2 linked regions of the Lonchura striata genome follow. The protein of the gene in region 2 purifies or fractionates together with the protein of the main gene of each other region. This does not show direct contact. Links are inferred from orthologs where the notes say so. Each region holds a gene or a part of one and is shown on either strand. Other genes may lie near its edges.

The links. The genes of interacting proteins can lie anywhere in the genome.
Region 1: the proteins of ANKRD46 (region 2) and ATRN purify together in Homo sapiens (co-immunoprecipitation; 3 studies listed by BioGRID and IntAct, with this or other methods). This does not show direct contact. The link is inferred for Lonchura striata from reciprocal best matches to the Homo sapiens genes ANKRD46 and ATRN.

Annotation. Positions count from the first base shown.
Region 1 is NC_134606.1:180,685-188,771, reverse strand, and holds the start of ATRN (attractin), read right to left. Parts: upstream 3,046-8,087; coding exon 2,741-3,045; intron 1-2,740. UniProt on the Homo sapiens protein: Involved in the initial immune cell clustering during inflammatory response and may regulate chemotactic activity of chemokines. May play a role in melanocortin signaling pathways that regulate energy homeostasis and hair color.
Region 2 is NC_134603.1:21,600,421-21,608,093, reverse strand, and holds the start of ANKRD46 (ankyrin repeat domain-containing protein 46), read right to left. Parts: upstream 3,059-7,673; 5' UTR 3,005-3,058; intron 1-3,004.

The DNA.
Region 1 (8,087 bases), on a different chromosome or scaffold from region 2:
CTCTAGTTCAGAAGGCTGAATGATTACTTATTATAACTATACTATAATACATTCATATGCTATTTAAAGGATATACTAAAACTACATACTTACTTTTTCTAACTACTATATTTCACTCCCTCACAACTCGTGACTTTCTCGCTCAAGTCCAGCCACAGGTGGATTGTATTGGCCATCAGGCTCAAACAATCCTCACCAGAATCCAAACAAGCAATCACCCCAGGTAAACAAATTTCTAAACACATTCTACACAGGAAAACAAGGAGCAGAAATAGTTTTCTCTTTCTTTCCTCTGTACTCCTCTATGAAAAAAATCTTAAGAGGAAGAAGAATGTGCCTACCACAGTTTGGACTTCCAGGGCTTGCCTAGCCTGGAATCATTTCCATACAAAACCCCTTTCAAACTGTTTACAATACACACTCATCTACAGATTGCCAATAAATATGAATAAAAAAATTAAAGTGTTTTTCTTCCATGCGTTCAGGTTATATAGGCAGTTACCCTCCTCTCACATTCATAAGGAACATCACCGAAGGGTGCTTGGTGTTTTCAGTAGCTCCCCAGTAAAGCAGTCACTGCCTAGGATAATCATCCTTTTTTTATTTCCTTCTTTTCCAGGAATCAGCCCTGCCAGGGAATTCACCTAATGCATGCAGACACACACACTGGCTCTCTCACTGCCACAGCTGACGAATCCAAGGCAAGTAACCATCTCACAGAAATCCTTGCCATAATACGGAAGCCAGGGAGCATGTTCAGCCTATTCCCATTTTCTCATCCAGTGGGATACACCTCAGGCACACAACCCAGCCAAGTAACCCAGCACTAAAAGAATTGCCCCTAGCACTGCAGAAATGCACTTTCTATCGGCATATAGCCCAAAAATCACTGTCCTGTGCAGACACCCCGCATTCCCACACACAGTCGTTTGCACATGTCCTGGACCAATGCAGAGCCAGGGGATTCAATACCCCTGCCCAGAGCCCTCCTTGAGCCTTTTTCTCCTCCAAAAAAAGGACTCTCCCAATACCCTCTATCCTGTCCAATCCCCTCCCACTTGCCCAATCTTGCCTCCCCACAAGCCCAGGAGCTTTTTTCCACCAGGCTGCTACTGCCACTGCCCCTCCCGAAGAGCCAGCAGCATTACAGCTCCAGAAGATGAGCCTTCCAAATGCCAGCTACTCCCATAAGGATACTGCTTCTCTCCCCTGCACATACCTCTCCTGAAAGAGCCTTTAACCAAAACCAGCACCTGCTGATCTGCCAACAAGAGGAGCTTCCTTAACCCCCTCCAAAGACCTCTAGAGTCTCCCCACAGCCCTAACACCCACTTGCACATCCTTCTCCTCCAACCTGTTCCAAGTGTGATCTAGTCCCATGTACACATTAGTCCTTCTCCCCGCCCAGGAACTGGCCCCACACCCACGCTGTCCTCCTCTGTCCACCTGCTCCTCACTGCTCCCATCAGCTTCCAACTCCAGCCACATCCACGCACAAAGCTACCCCCATTCACCCACCATCCTTACACTCCCATTTATCAGTTCCCAAACCTAGCCCTACTGCCAAAAAATATCCCCCTACCCACTCCCCTCCAGCTTTACTTTCTGTCTGGATCTACTAAAATTTAAACCAAACATTTTCCTGGCTGTGCAATCCATCACGCCCAGATCCCCAGTGATCCAGTGCCCTACAACCACTGTTCCTACATAGCCCCTTAGAATCACAACTGATCACCAGTTATGCCTGTGCAACCCCAGCCAACCAACACCAAAAATTCAGCCCCCTTAGAGTTGGCTCTGCAAAACAAACATCCTGTATTCACCAACTGTGGCACTAAACATCCATATTCCATTGCTCTGAGAGCTCCCGCAGGAAGCCCAACCCCTCACCTCCTCTGAGGACCTCCAGACCAAGCCTGCCACACTGTCACCCCATCACACCTATGCTGCCGTCACCCTTCAAGCCTGTTCTCGCACACCCACCTCTCCCTCTGCATCCAAACCCCTTTTGTCCCCTTGCAGGACTACTGCCCATCCCTTTTCACCCACATTCCCCTTAATCAGCCCCATGCTCACACCCTCACTGCCCAGAGACCCAGCCCCTATTGTCCCCTCAACACGGTCCTATCCTGCACTAACACCTGCATCTTTATAGTCACCTACATCTGTCCCTCACTTTTATCATCACCTGGACTGCTGCTCACCTTTACCATCACCTGCGTGCCCCTCACCATTCCCTTGACCTGCCACTCACCTTTAGTGTCACTTCCATCTGCTGCTCATCTTTCATCTCACCTGGTCCCACCCCTCACCTTTAATGTCACCCCGACCCTACTGCCCTCACTCACCCCTGGACCCTGCTCAGACTCCCACCCCGTTTGAGTGCCCGAACCTGCTTCTCGTACCCACCTATTTCCCTCATGCGCTCCTTTGGGCAACCTGACCCGGGCCACCGAGCCACTGCTGTGTCCTCTCCTCTCTCTCTTGCCATGTCCCTCATGCCCATCCCTGACGTGGCTGCCGCACGGTCCCCTCCGTACCCCAACCCAGCCCGATCCCCACGGTCCAAACGAACACCTCACTCAAACCAGCCCCTCACCCTTGAACCAGCCTTTCACCCCCGTAGCCCACACCCAACCCCTCACTCCTGAACCAGCCCCGTCCACCCCAGCCCTAGGCGTCCCCGCGCCCCGCGCCCCACCGCAGGGCACGTCCGGCCCCCCGCCCCGCGGGAGCTCACCTGAAGCGCCCCCCGCAGTGCTGGCACTGATCGCCCACCCAGCCAGGCTGGCACTCGCACTGCCCGGTGCCCGGCTGGCACCGCCCGCCGTTGGCGCACGGCTTGTCGCATTCCTTGGACACCGCCACCTCCTCGCCGGCGGCGGCGGCGGGGCCCAGCACCAACAGCAGCAGCAGCGCCAGCAGCGGCGGCGGCGGAGGCGCCGGTGACCTCCCGGCCCGCCTGCCCGGTGCCCGCCGCGCCATCTGCGGCCGCTGCCGGGTGGGAGCAGGGCGGGCGGGGGGCGGCGGCACAACGCGGACCATCGGCCGCCGCGGGGCCTCCGCCGGTCCCGCTACGGTGGCCGCGAGTGGGGGGGGACCGGGAGGGCGGGGCCGGCGACGTCACGCCGCGGCCATGGCGGCGGGGCGGGGTCAGATGGGGGAGTCGCAGTCACAGGATCGGTTCCACTAATGGCAGGCTCTGGTGTAGAGGGAGTGGAAGCGGTTCTTGGTCCGGTGCTACAGCTGCAGAGCTCTTCACTTACCGGTGAGTTTCTCATCTCACCAAGTTTAACAAGCAGAGTTTAAAGCACATGGCAGTTCCCAAACCATTAAATGGCATTTCCCAGGAAATGAGTCAATTTAAAACTGAGCTGTAAAACTGAAGCCCCTCTACTGCTCCCCATTAGTTAAATATTACAGGTGAGAAAGCAGCGGCTGGCACAGATACAACATGAGCACTGCCCCAGTTAAAGGAGTAATGGAAGTAGCAGAATCAGAATCACTGGAGTGGAAAAAGCCCTCCAGGATCACCCAGTCCAACCTGTGACACCCCCCCCCCCCTATCTTATCAAACAGCCCAGAGCACCGAGTGCCGCGTCCAGGCATTCCTTGGACAGCTCCAGGGATGATGGAGGCTGCACCACCTCCCTGGGCAGCCCCTTCCAAGGCCTGACCACCCTTTCCAGGGAGAAATTCCTGCTGGTGTCCAAGCTGAACCTCCCCAGGCCCAGCCTGAGGCCGTTCCCTCTCCTCCTGTCCCTGTTCTCTGGAGCAGAGCCCGACCCCCCGGCTGTCCCCTCCTGGCAGGAGCTATGCAGAGCCACAAGGTCCAGGCTGAGGCCCCTCAGCCACTCTTGGTGCTCCGGAGCCCTCCTCAGCGTTGTTCCTTTCCCTGGGCACATTCCAGCCCCTTAGTGCCTGTCCTGAACTGGGTGCTCGGGGCTGCCCCAGCACTTGAGGTGCCCCAGCAGTGCCACACAGGGCACGGGCACTGCCCTGGGATGGAGCAACCCCATGCTGGGCCCTACTGCTCCCATGGATGATGGACACATGTTGATTGGGGTCTGTCCCACCAGCATCCCAGGGTGTCCCTGTACCCCAGGTGAGCCCAAAAAGGTCCCCCCAGAGGTGGGGATGTGTCCCCCCTATGTCGGGAATGCCCCTCAGCCACCCCACACACTGTGAGCGTGGGCCTCGAGGCTGAAGGGGAGGGAAAAGGAAGTGTTCAAGACGAGGCTGAATGGGCCTCTGAGCAACCTAGGAAGCAAAATGGAAAGAAATTGTTCTGTGTGAGGGTGTGAGGCCCTGGCACAGGGTGCCAGAGAAGTTGTGGCTGCCCCTGGATCCCTGGCAGTGTCCCAGGCCAGGCTGGACAGGGCTTGGAGCAGCCTGGGACAGTGGAAGGTGTCCCTGCCCACATGACAGGAGTGGGATGAGATGAGATCTAAGATCCCTTCCAACTCAAACCACTCTGTGATTTTATGATATAAAATCAGAAAGTTGTATAAGAAGAAAAAAAAAAAAAGAATCTGAAAAACAGGATACCCTCCTACCCTGGAAAACAAGCTAGTGATCTCCAAGGATTTCTGGGCCTTAATTTTTAACAGCTAAGGCCTGAGTAAGGAAGAATAAAGAAGTTAAAAGTAATTCTCTTCTGAATTTGTGGCAAAACAGCAAACTTTGTTGGACACAGCAAGGATATCCTTTGCAGCAGGAAGGGTGACAATTTCAGACCTTTAAATTTTAACAGAATGCAAAAGACATGAGAAACCTGACAGTGTTTGGAGTTCTTGGGTAACTGTTACCTTTGGTCTGTCTCCAGCAATATGATTGTGTCTGGAGTTACACAAATTGTTTTGAGTGAGGCAAGATGTTGACAGCTGAGAATTTATTATTGAAAGAAAAAAAAAAAGGGTAAAAGATACTATTCACATTTTTCCCTCCAAAAGGGTGACCAGGGTTTAGGTGCAGTAATGCAAAGACACGGAGCAGACTGGGTGGAAATAGCCAGCTCACCATATTTAAACAGTTCATTTGTGTTTAGAAATTCAAATGTTATTTACCTGTCTGAGGGAGGTTTTCAGTAGGACCCTAAGTGATTTCTACATTAGTTGCTGGGATAACAAATGGTGTGGGAATCCAGGGCTTCCCTCTGGCTGCCCTGGAAGGTCTGGGACCCTGGCAGGGGGTCAGGAACCCCCCTGGACAGAGCCCCAAGAAACACTGTCTCTGATCTCTGTCCATGGAAAAGAGTTTTCAATCTTACAGGGTGAATTACAAGCTCTGAGTGTTTGATATAAGTAATAATTAAGTGTGGCACGGGTGCAAAAGTAAAATTTTAGGATTCTAGATTAGGGGTTCAAAGGGGACAAGATGGAGGAAATTGGGTGTGCCTTGTCCTTTTTCTCCTTCTTCATGCCCTCCATGTCTCACTGTGGTGTTGGCATTTTTCTGTTGGTTTAGGCTGGGGACACACTGTTCAACGTAGGTGACAGATATTGGCACATTATTGTAAATCCAGCCCAGGGAGTTTCTGGTATTTAATGTTTGTAACATCACACTGAGGGCAGAGCCCTACACGCTGCCCTGCAGGACAGAGCTGCGGCAGGGCAGCAGAACATGTTATACATAAGCAAGAATAAACAATCTTGAAAACCAGCACAGACAAATTATGGCTTCTTCTTTGGCAATGGGGCAGAAAGACAGAGACTTTTTACAATCTCGGAATCATCAATACCTCCGATTCCAACAAAAGGGTGTTGAGCAGATAGGAAAGAAAACATTCTGAAGAGTGGTTGGGTTTTTCTTGTCAGTCAATTATCTCTAGCAAAACCACTGCTCAGAGAAGATTTTTCCTTTTCTGCTTGAGGCCTCAAGAAGGAGGATGAAATCTTGGGTTTAATTTAAAACTGTTGGGTTGGGCTCACCTGGTATTCAAAGGCAACCAAAACCAAAAACATGTGAGTGATGAGAAATAGGTTGCAAATTCCTTGTAGGCTCTAGAGAAATGGAGGCACAGAGAGGCTATTTCTACATACATCTATATTCCCGGGACACAGACAACTGCCAGCATGCCCTGAATCTGGGAATTCAGATACCCAGTCATTTCCCAAGGTGCTGCCAGAAAAGCCAGTCTGGCTCTGAGATTCAGTCAGCTCAGGATACAGGCAGTGCATGACACTACTCTTTGGATTGTCACTGCGATGGGTGACCCTGGCTGGACACCAGATGCCTTCTAAAACTGCTCTCACTCCCCTCCTCAGCTGGGCAGGAAAAGAAAATACAATGCAAGGCCCATAGTTGGGATAAGGGCAAGGAGAGATTAGTCACCAGTTACTGTCATGGTGAAAAGAGATGGAGGAAATCAGTTTAATTTATTACCAATCCAATCAGAGCAGGGCAACAAGAAATAAACTCCAATCCTAAATCACTTTTCCCCCCACCCCTCCTTCTTTCCCAGGCTCAATTTCCCTCATGCTTCTCTCCCTCCTCCTTCCAAGTGGTGCACGGGGGCAGGGAATGGGGCTGTGCTCAGTCCTTCACACTGTCACTGCGCTCCTTCCTCCTCAGGGGTTGGACTTCTCACACTCTGCCTCTCCTCCAGCCTGGGCTTCCCATGGGAACACAGTCTCCTTCAGGCATCCCCATGCTCTGCCATGGGGTGTTCATGAGCTGTACGTGGATCTCTGCACCCCCACACCCTCCATCCATGGCTCCATCAGACATGGAGGGAAGCTCCAGCGCCTCCTCACAGGAGCCACCCCTGGATCAAAGCCTGCTCACCCAAACCCAGCACAGTCACACAGGTGCTGCCAGCACAAGTTGCTCCCACTAAGTGATGCCAAAAGATTCCAAACATTGGAAGTGTTGCTGGCATGGCTCTAAAACAATGTATGGATTAGCCAGATATATCCAGCTCAGGGCTGGGGTTGGAATCTGCTGTCAAATCTTACCCCCATTCTCTACTTTGTGTCTTCTTACATCTGTTTTTGTTCACTTGCAGTTATCAGTGATAACAGTACTTGTATTTTCACAACATCTGCTCCCCCATTTCTTGCCAAACATAGCTCTCTGTTGCACAAAGGACAGAAAGTAAAAACATTGGGTAAGGGTGGAAATAAACTTGGAGAAATTGTTCCCATCCTAGATATCAGTTGAATTTCTCTTCACTGGTATCAGATTTAGTGAACTGCTTCTATGCTCAACAGTTTTTTGGGTTTTTAACCAGCTAGGCGGGTAAAGCACAAGATGCCATCCATCCTTGGATCTCTCCCCACCCTGTTCCCCACAGCAGATTCCATAGAATCACAGAATCACAAAATGGTTTGGGTTGGAAGAGACCTCAAAGCTCATCTCATTCTAACCCCCTGCCATGGGCAGGGACACCACTCCATACAGCAGATTCCTCCAAGTCCTGTCCAACCTAGTCTTGAATGCTTCCAGGGATAGGGCAGCCCCAACTTTCCTGGGAAATTAGCAATTCAAAAGGTTTTTGCAGTTGGAGAATCAAAAATGTTTTCTACCAGACAGAATTGTTAGATCTGTGCAGTGGTTGATGGTTGTTTTTTATCAAGCAAACTTCAAATCACTTAAAAAAAGAGTTAAGAAGGGTCACCCAGTGAATGAGAACAGGAAGAGAGAGTTCTGACAATAAAGCAACAAATTCTGACAATAAAGCACCTAACAGAGATGCCTGTGGCAAATCTCAAATACTTGGGAGAAGAGTAACATCTGTGAGTGTTGCACAAGAGAAGAAATCCTTTCCTAGCCTTGTTAGTGATCATGCTGTCCTCCCTGGCACTGTCTGTATCAAATATTAGCTGCAGGAGATAATTACTGTTATATTAACTTCAATCTGTCTCATTTTAACATGCAAAAAATGTCAAAAAATACTTTTGGGTTGTTGTTGTTGGCTTGGTTTTTGTTTTGGTTTGGTTTTGGTTTTGTTTAGGTTTTTGGTTTGGTTGTGGTGTTTTGGTATGGTTTTTGTTTTGTTTTGTTTTTGTTTTTAAATATTGACAAGCAACTTGCTGACATGAAATATCATTTGGAAGGAGAGGAGTTAGGTTAGCCCAAAGTTCTGA
Region 2 (7,673 bases):
ACCATTTTCTTCACACAGCTACTGAACACAAAGGTCTAAAAAGGACAAACCAGAGAACTTTCTGATTTTTTTTCAAAATTACATACTTGACTCTTCTATTCCTTTTCCAGAAGAAAATTACAGTTCCTAACTACTGAACCATCATTTTCCTGACTCAGTTAATTTTACCCTGTTCTTAATATCTTTATAGTGCAACAAACCAGCTGCAGTTCCTTACGGCCCAGCCTCAGCATGACTAACCCTGTAAGATTACATTTTATTCTGATCCTTTCCTGAAAGGATTGAGAAATAACCTGTTTTGTGTACAAAATGATCCAGTTTCATGTGCCTGAGTCATGTGCCTGTACTCAAATCAGAGCTCCAATGTGTCTTCTTTGGCATCCTTAGTATACTCTAGAAAAACAAACAGAAAAACCAAACAAAAACCCTCCAGCCAATGAACAGAGGGAGTAGACTTAAATCAGAATCAGTCAATTAGGTTCATTTTATACAGTATACAAATAAAACAGCTGAAATCTTTACTAGAACACTTTCTCTGTGGGAGGGGAGCAAGTGGGAGGTAGGAAGGGGGAGTCTTTGCAAGCATAAAGCTGGCTAAAGCAGTTATTTTGCTCCCACACAAAACTCTGACAACTCTACCTCCAAAAATAAAGGAAAAGGGCAGGAAAAGCATGACATGGAATGCTAAGAAAGGGAGAAAACAGCAGAGTACAGTGAAATGTTTCACTGCTGTAAAGGCTGCCAAGAGAATATGTTTCAGAATTGGTTTGGAGGAGAATATGGGCAAGTGGAAAAGATTTAAAACACACCATCCCCTTCTCCCCAGACCTTCTAAGCTTATTTTTCATGAAGAAGAAGTGAATGTAGACACAAAGTCAGTGAAGTATTCACAAGAAAAGTAACCTGCCAAATTCTTAACCTGTTGATTTTGAAGCTGACTTCTAATTTGGTTAAGTAGGCAATGTCATGCAGTAGCTAATCTCATCATTGGCAATCTGGATGTCAGCTGAGCAGCTTTCTTCTGGATAATCACAAATACAATGATCAAACATCAAGCTGTATATACCATAGAACTGCATTTCTCAACTCTGCATTGGGAACTGCACCAAAGGACAGAACTAATGAGATTTGCTGTAAAGGCAAGTAGGTCTAGTGATCTGGAGAGAAAAAAAAAAAGGGGGGGGGGGGAGGGGCTATAAGACAAATGTTTAAACTTTCTTCTGGAAGAACACAGGTTCACACAATAGGTCAGTGCTTGATACAGAGAATAGTGCTTATAGTACAGAGTAAGAAACTTGATTTTTTTTTTTTAACAGGATATGATGAGATAGGTCTTTTGAATGATTACCAGATATGATAATAGTAAGAGCTAAAACTAACAAGTAAGAGATACTTTGAACAACAGACCCAGCAGTCTGAGTTTTCATCTGGTTGCCTAAACTGAATGACAAACTTTTGCACCTGAGTTTTGCAGAGAAGAATAGCATTCAATCAAATGTTTCTTGATAGGCCTTGAGATACAGCTCATTGTGTTGGGATTTTAAAAACATATTAACAGAGATAGGAATCTCCTTTTCTATTTGGTGGTTCGGTATCTGACCAGGAGATGGGAGACCTGGGTCTCTAGCTCAAATGACTCCACAAAACCACACTCTGTTTTTGAAGTCATAGCCCCTAGTTTCATTTCTTTAAAAACCCCACATCTTTGATCTGGTTTGATTGTTTTTTAAAATACTGTTTTACCTTTGCTTTGTTTACATTTTTTGTAGAAATTGAAGTTCCTGCATCTGCTTGTCTGTTGTTTTAACCCAGTTCCTCTTAACTTCCTGGACTGCCTTAAAATAATTCTTAAAAATAGCAGAAAAAAAATCAGCAAACATACAGAAACACATAGAAATAGAAAGCTTATTTTGGTTTTTAAACAAAGCTTTTGATTTTAAGACAAGTTCACCCTACACTGTTCTTTCCTCATGAGTTAATCATTTCCAAAGCTGTGTGTAGATGTACAACTCAACAAACCTACAGATCACCTACATGCTCCTATATGATGACAGAGTGCCTACATATTAGGAACATTAGGATACATACATCACTTTGAAAATACAGTGGATAGGTACCTAAATGTGTCCTTTTTGTGAAATATTTTTCCCATGCATAAGCCATAGGTGAGTTAGAATCGCTAATACAACGGTGTGAAGGAGAAAAACCCCAAAACACCAACATGACCCCTATCAACAACAACTATATCCAGCACTTAGAAAAGTGGCACAAATCAATGCCAACAAGAACCATTTATAAATATGTCAAGAATTAATATAAAACATTAAATTATTGTGGAAAGGTAATCTTTAAGATTACAAAAAGTCCTTTCAGTTTTACCTATGTATGTAACAATTTCAGTGAAATTCTACAATCCATCAGCTGTGTATTGAAAGAAGGATCCATAAAACTTTTAAAAGCCAAGGGAAAAAAAGTAATAAAACATGAAGAAATTATTCTGTTGAATGGCTGTTTGGATTTTTTTAGCTAAATAAAATGGAAGTGCAATCCAGAAATATTTCATTACTTAACCAGATTAAAAAACACCAAACCAAAGCACAGATGTAATCTTGAAGTGCATTTTGTACTCATTCTTTACACATTGTAGCAAAATGGAAATAAACTGGGGTCAGATTATCCAATCTCTCCACTGGTTTTGGTGGTACCAAACATTGTTACAACGTAGAACTAAGACTTTTTCCTCCTTTTCTTAAACAACTCTGGGTTTCTCTGCACAGTAGGTGGTAAGGCTCCTAGAGCAGCCACTGCCATGCTGCAACCAACCGCTGTGGAGCTGCATCAGGCTGAGCTCTGTGCAGGAGCAAAGCAAATTGAACACTCAGTTACCCATGTGCCAGGGGCACAGCTGGCCTGAGCCCTCTGATTTAAGCAACCTGGGTAAATCTCCACAACCTTACAACTGGAGCAGTGCAGGCTACATGGCCAGTACGGACGTATTACTCACCCTCCGCTGGGTCTTGTGCCCAGACAGCCCCATTTCCTCTCCTGGGCTTGGAGCAGTGCTGGATGGAGAATTATCTCCTCAGACAGTTTGCCACAGCTGAGAAGCATGCAGCTCTTTTGCTGGACAGCTAGTACTGCAGTTTGTAAAGGCACATAGAGGGAAACAGAAAGATATGTAGAGGCTGAGCTCCAATGCAGTAGATTTAAACCAGACAAGTTACCAGCATCAAAAAACAGGTTTCTGTGCACCTTTCCTTGCTGCCACCAAAAGACATGGTCTGTTCTTCCCCTTCCACTCCATTCATTCATCTGCTGCAATCAATATAATTCACTAAGCAAGCAAAAAGAGATTTCTTTGTTTTCTGTTTCTCTGTAGAGAGAAGTAGACATGAACACAACTGCAGTAGGGAGCCATTAGACCGGCCCTGCTATACTAACTGCCCCCACAGGGCACTCTGACAAATGGGACCTTGGCACCAGGCTCCCATCCCCAGGGTTTATCCTCACCCACAAGTGAGCATTACCATTTGCAGCACAGCAAACAGAACCAGGGGACTGACTCAGGCCAAAAACAGGCCATCAAAGCCAAATCAAAAATAAAGAGACAGTATTTTTAGACCAGGTTAGCTCACCAGTCCAGTTCACCACTCCCACCAGCATCATGGACTAGTAGTCCAAGGAACAAGCAAATGAAAGGGGAATAGTGCTCTGCTGTTTAAGCCTGGCCACTTACTAAAAGAAATGCTCAAGCTATAGCCTCAGGTATTATGCATATTAGTGTATAGAAATAAGCACTTCAGATAAAAAGTAATCCACCTCTGCCCAGAGGGGTAGCTTGCAACTCAGAACTCAAAGTTCTCTTCTATATTGTTTATGGGTGTATTTTTTTTTTGTGACCACTGCATCATGCAAGTATAAATATTAGAAGGCAAGGAGCCACAAAACACCTCTTTATAGTTTCTTAAAGAGAGAGGGAATAAATAGCTAGCTACAATAAAGGACCCTTCAGGGGTACTACAGTGCTAATATTTAAAACATGCAACACCACAGAAACCAGTCAATTCCAATTTAAAATTGGCCTCAGGAAAAAAAAATGAAAAAAAACCAGTCAAGCTGTTGAAGTTTAAAGGCTTCATAACTAAGTTATTCAGGGGATTTATTTCTCTGCTTATAGTAGTTTTCATGCATCTTAGTAGTTTCACTTAAGCTTCTTGTTCACCACTTTCTGACTCCAAGTTTACAGTACAACTCCTTCAAGTTCAGTTCTGCCACTTTTTCACCACTAGGAAAAGAAAAAAACACAGAAACATTTGGTGAAATCTACTGAAATAGCTCAACTACTTTCATGTATCAGTTATTGCTGGCTAGCAATGTGCTGTTAGAGAAGAAAAACAATACAGATTCTGGAGTAAAGTAAGGTGACAAGCTAGTTATCTTCCTCACTTCTCTGAGTCTAAGCTTACAGAACAGTCTAAGCTCTGCTCTGTACAGAACATCTCTACTCCCTGAGATTATGGTCTTCTAGGATAGCCTTCACTCAAAACACAGCTAAGCATGATAGATGTTAAGGGACACAGGGATGGAAACTTCCAGGACTGCTGCTTTTCTGGAACAGATCACCAGACAAGGTGTGTAAAATGTCAATGTACAGCAAGAAAAGCATGTCACTCTTCAAAGATCACTAGTTTTCTGCTTACTTTTAAAAAAAGTAAGTCTAAAGGCCCAAATCTGTAAACATTTAATTCTAAGCTGATAACATTATTCAGCAGAACATCTAAACATACCTTTTTAGGCCTGTGAGCATCTAAGCATTTTTTGGCAGTTGAATGTGGGTTACCTTTGGACTTGATGTATTTGTGAGGATTATCAAAGATACATAGAAATGTAATCAACTGAAAAACTTTTCTATTCTCCTGTGTATCTGATCATATCACAATACAAAGCAAAAATAATTCCACCTGGAACTGCACTGCAAGATACTTTTGAGATGTAGTAACTGCCAACTGCGTACTCAGAGATATCTTTCAAAGCAGAATGAAGAGAGGAAGGGAATAATAAATAAAATAGGCACAGACTGTAAAGTTACTCTCTCACTAAGTAAGCCTGAGCTCCTTAGTAAGTCCAGTAGTAACAGGACCTTCATTTTAAAACATTCAGAAGAACACTAATATCTCTATGCCAATTAATAGACCAAAAAAAGCTAAATAACTGCAATGCTCCAGTCAACAGCAAAGACCATTCACTGTCCTGATGTGGCCTGAGCCTATCCCAGTCACAGGCCTGGATCCTGCCTGTGGAGTTGCGGTTTCATATGTTTTATTACACCTTTATTCTGTCATGGTTTGTTCCAGTGTACCCCCATACTGTATTGGTTTCTCCCTGAGTTTTCCCGCCTTTCCCCAAGTGTCGGTTTCCCTGGAAGGTGCCAAGTCAGTCCCCTGCCCCCTCCTAAGTGCCTTGTCTGTCACTCGGTGCCCCTTCCCCTACCTCTGGAAACTTCCATCCAGGGCACCGAGTGATTGGATGAGGGCCTGGGACCCCTACCCTGTCTCCCCTTCACTGGATCCCCCACATGTCAATCCTCACAAGAGCCACTTCCATATGTTTCCCCACTGTCTGATCGGTCCCCCTCCCTCTCCCTATCTAACATGTTGCCAGCACCCCTCAGTTGCTCTTGTTGGCTGGCCCCCTCCGATGCTGTTGGATCCTCAGGACCTCAATAAACATCGGATTTTTGCCCCCAACAAGTGCCTCTCCTCATTTCCTCTCCGTTGGATTCAGCAGCGACCTCAGGACCCACCAAGCACTCTCCAAAGCCCAGCTGGGTACAGCGGAGGGTGCTTCCACTCGCCCTACTCGCCCCCCAGGAGAGCTAGCCAGGGCTGAGGACAGGGGTCTGGGGCGGGTACGCAGCACCTGACTCACCCACACACCCACCCACATGGGAAACTGGACATCAGCCAATCAATGAGGATCCAAAAGCCTCTTCACATTTATGATCATGAAGACACAACCCTGATTTACAGCTTGCTTAATAACACTGTGGTCAAACTTAAGTTACTGGCCATTAAGAAAAGAAACACATAATGATATAAAGGAAAGTAAGCTAGAGACATTGGTTATAAGTGTAACAAGAGAGCTTCCTGTCCTATGTTAAACTCAGCATGTGATCTGTAAATTAAGAACTGTTTCATGTACGTATGGCCATCTGATTTAATGCCTACCTAGAATACACACCCAATAGTTCCCGTGTGGTAAAGTTGCTATGTGACTTGTAAACTCATAGGGATATTTCATATGTGAAAGTCTTACCCCTACACCACTCTCTCGGCAGACTTTGTTCCCCACTACCAGACTTTCTAACATGTAGGGGGAGAGCGCTCAAGGGAATTTATCAGACCAGATGGGTCTTTTAACTTTAGCAGGATCATGCAAGCCTTGTTCAGATTTCAGATTCAGTCACTGCAGCCAACAACAACAAAAATCCAAGGGGGGGCTAAGTTAAGCACCATGTAAAACTTACCAGACAGAGCTTCATCATCACAATCATGAAAGAAAAATAGGGTAAAAATATTTTATAAATTATCTCAACAGACCTCCCCTCACATAATGTAATATTCGAAAACAGAAAGTCAGAAGCTTCACTAATCATTAGCATGAATAAGGAAGAAGTGCTCAATACCTATTAATGTAACTTAACTGCTTTAAAATTTTCTCTTATGTCCCATTTAACTGCTCATTTAGAATTAGATATAACCACTCTCATATTCCAGCATGTGAATTTATGATGAGTTTCTTAAGGTTCAAAGAAATGTAAAAAGGTAATAAAACAGACTGTTTACTACTGTCATGCATTTATTTCCTAATGCAAGGCGTCTGCCGTGTTATTCCAGATCTTTACTACTAAATCCTCAAATTCTGTTGTACAGTGAGCACTGTGTTCTCTGAGTTAACATTACTCATGAGCATCACAAATACATAATTTTATAGGATTTGTGTTTTTTTTCCAGGCTAATAGAGTTCTCTTGTTTTTCTAGGAAATATCTACACATCCTGCCCTTTAGTGAAAACACCAGTCTTGTAGGATGCTCTATAAAGGCTTCTGACAAGAGCAGACTTGAGCTCTGTGGAACTTTCATTATCAATAATACATAAGGAGGAAAAACCCTATGTGGCTTGACATTTGGGTTTCTTTTAGTCTACTGTGGCTTCTCTACATCTTCTCTGCAAGAGGGCAGAAGTAGCACCAACAGAAAATGCAGACAATATTTGCAGGACCAGCTGCACAATGGGAGAGTGAGGACAGAAAAATCAGGCAGAGGTGAGTCCACTTACTGTGAGAAATGTATTTGTAAGGAATTCTCAAAATCTTGCAGAAAGTTCACACAGTCTTGTACATCTGTATGCAAACACTGAGGTAAGGTGTGCTGACTTAGGAAGGCCATGAAATAAAGATGACATTGTTGAGAGAGAGATTGAACTAGAAACAAGTTTCATCAAGTTTCAAACTATGGCCTTGTAAAAAGGCCAGATATTTTAGAAAATTAGAATGGTGAAAGATGCATTGTAGTGGGACCATGTGGAGTAAAAATATAGGTGATTTGTATTAGCAGCATGGTGTGGCAAAATAATAGGCTGAAAAACATTTATAAGGCATTGTAACCAGGAAA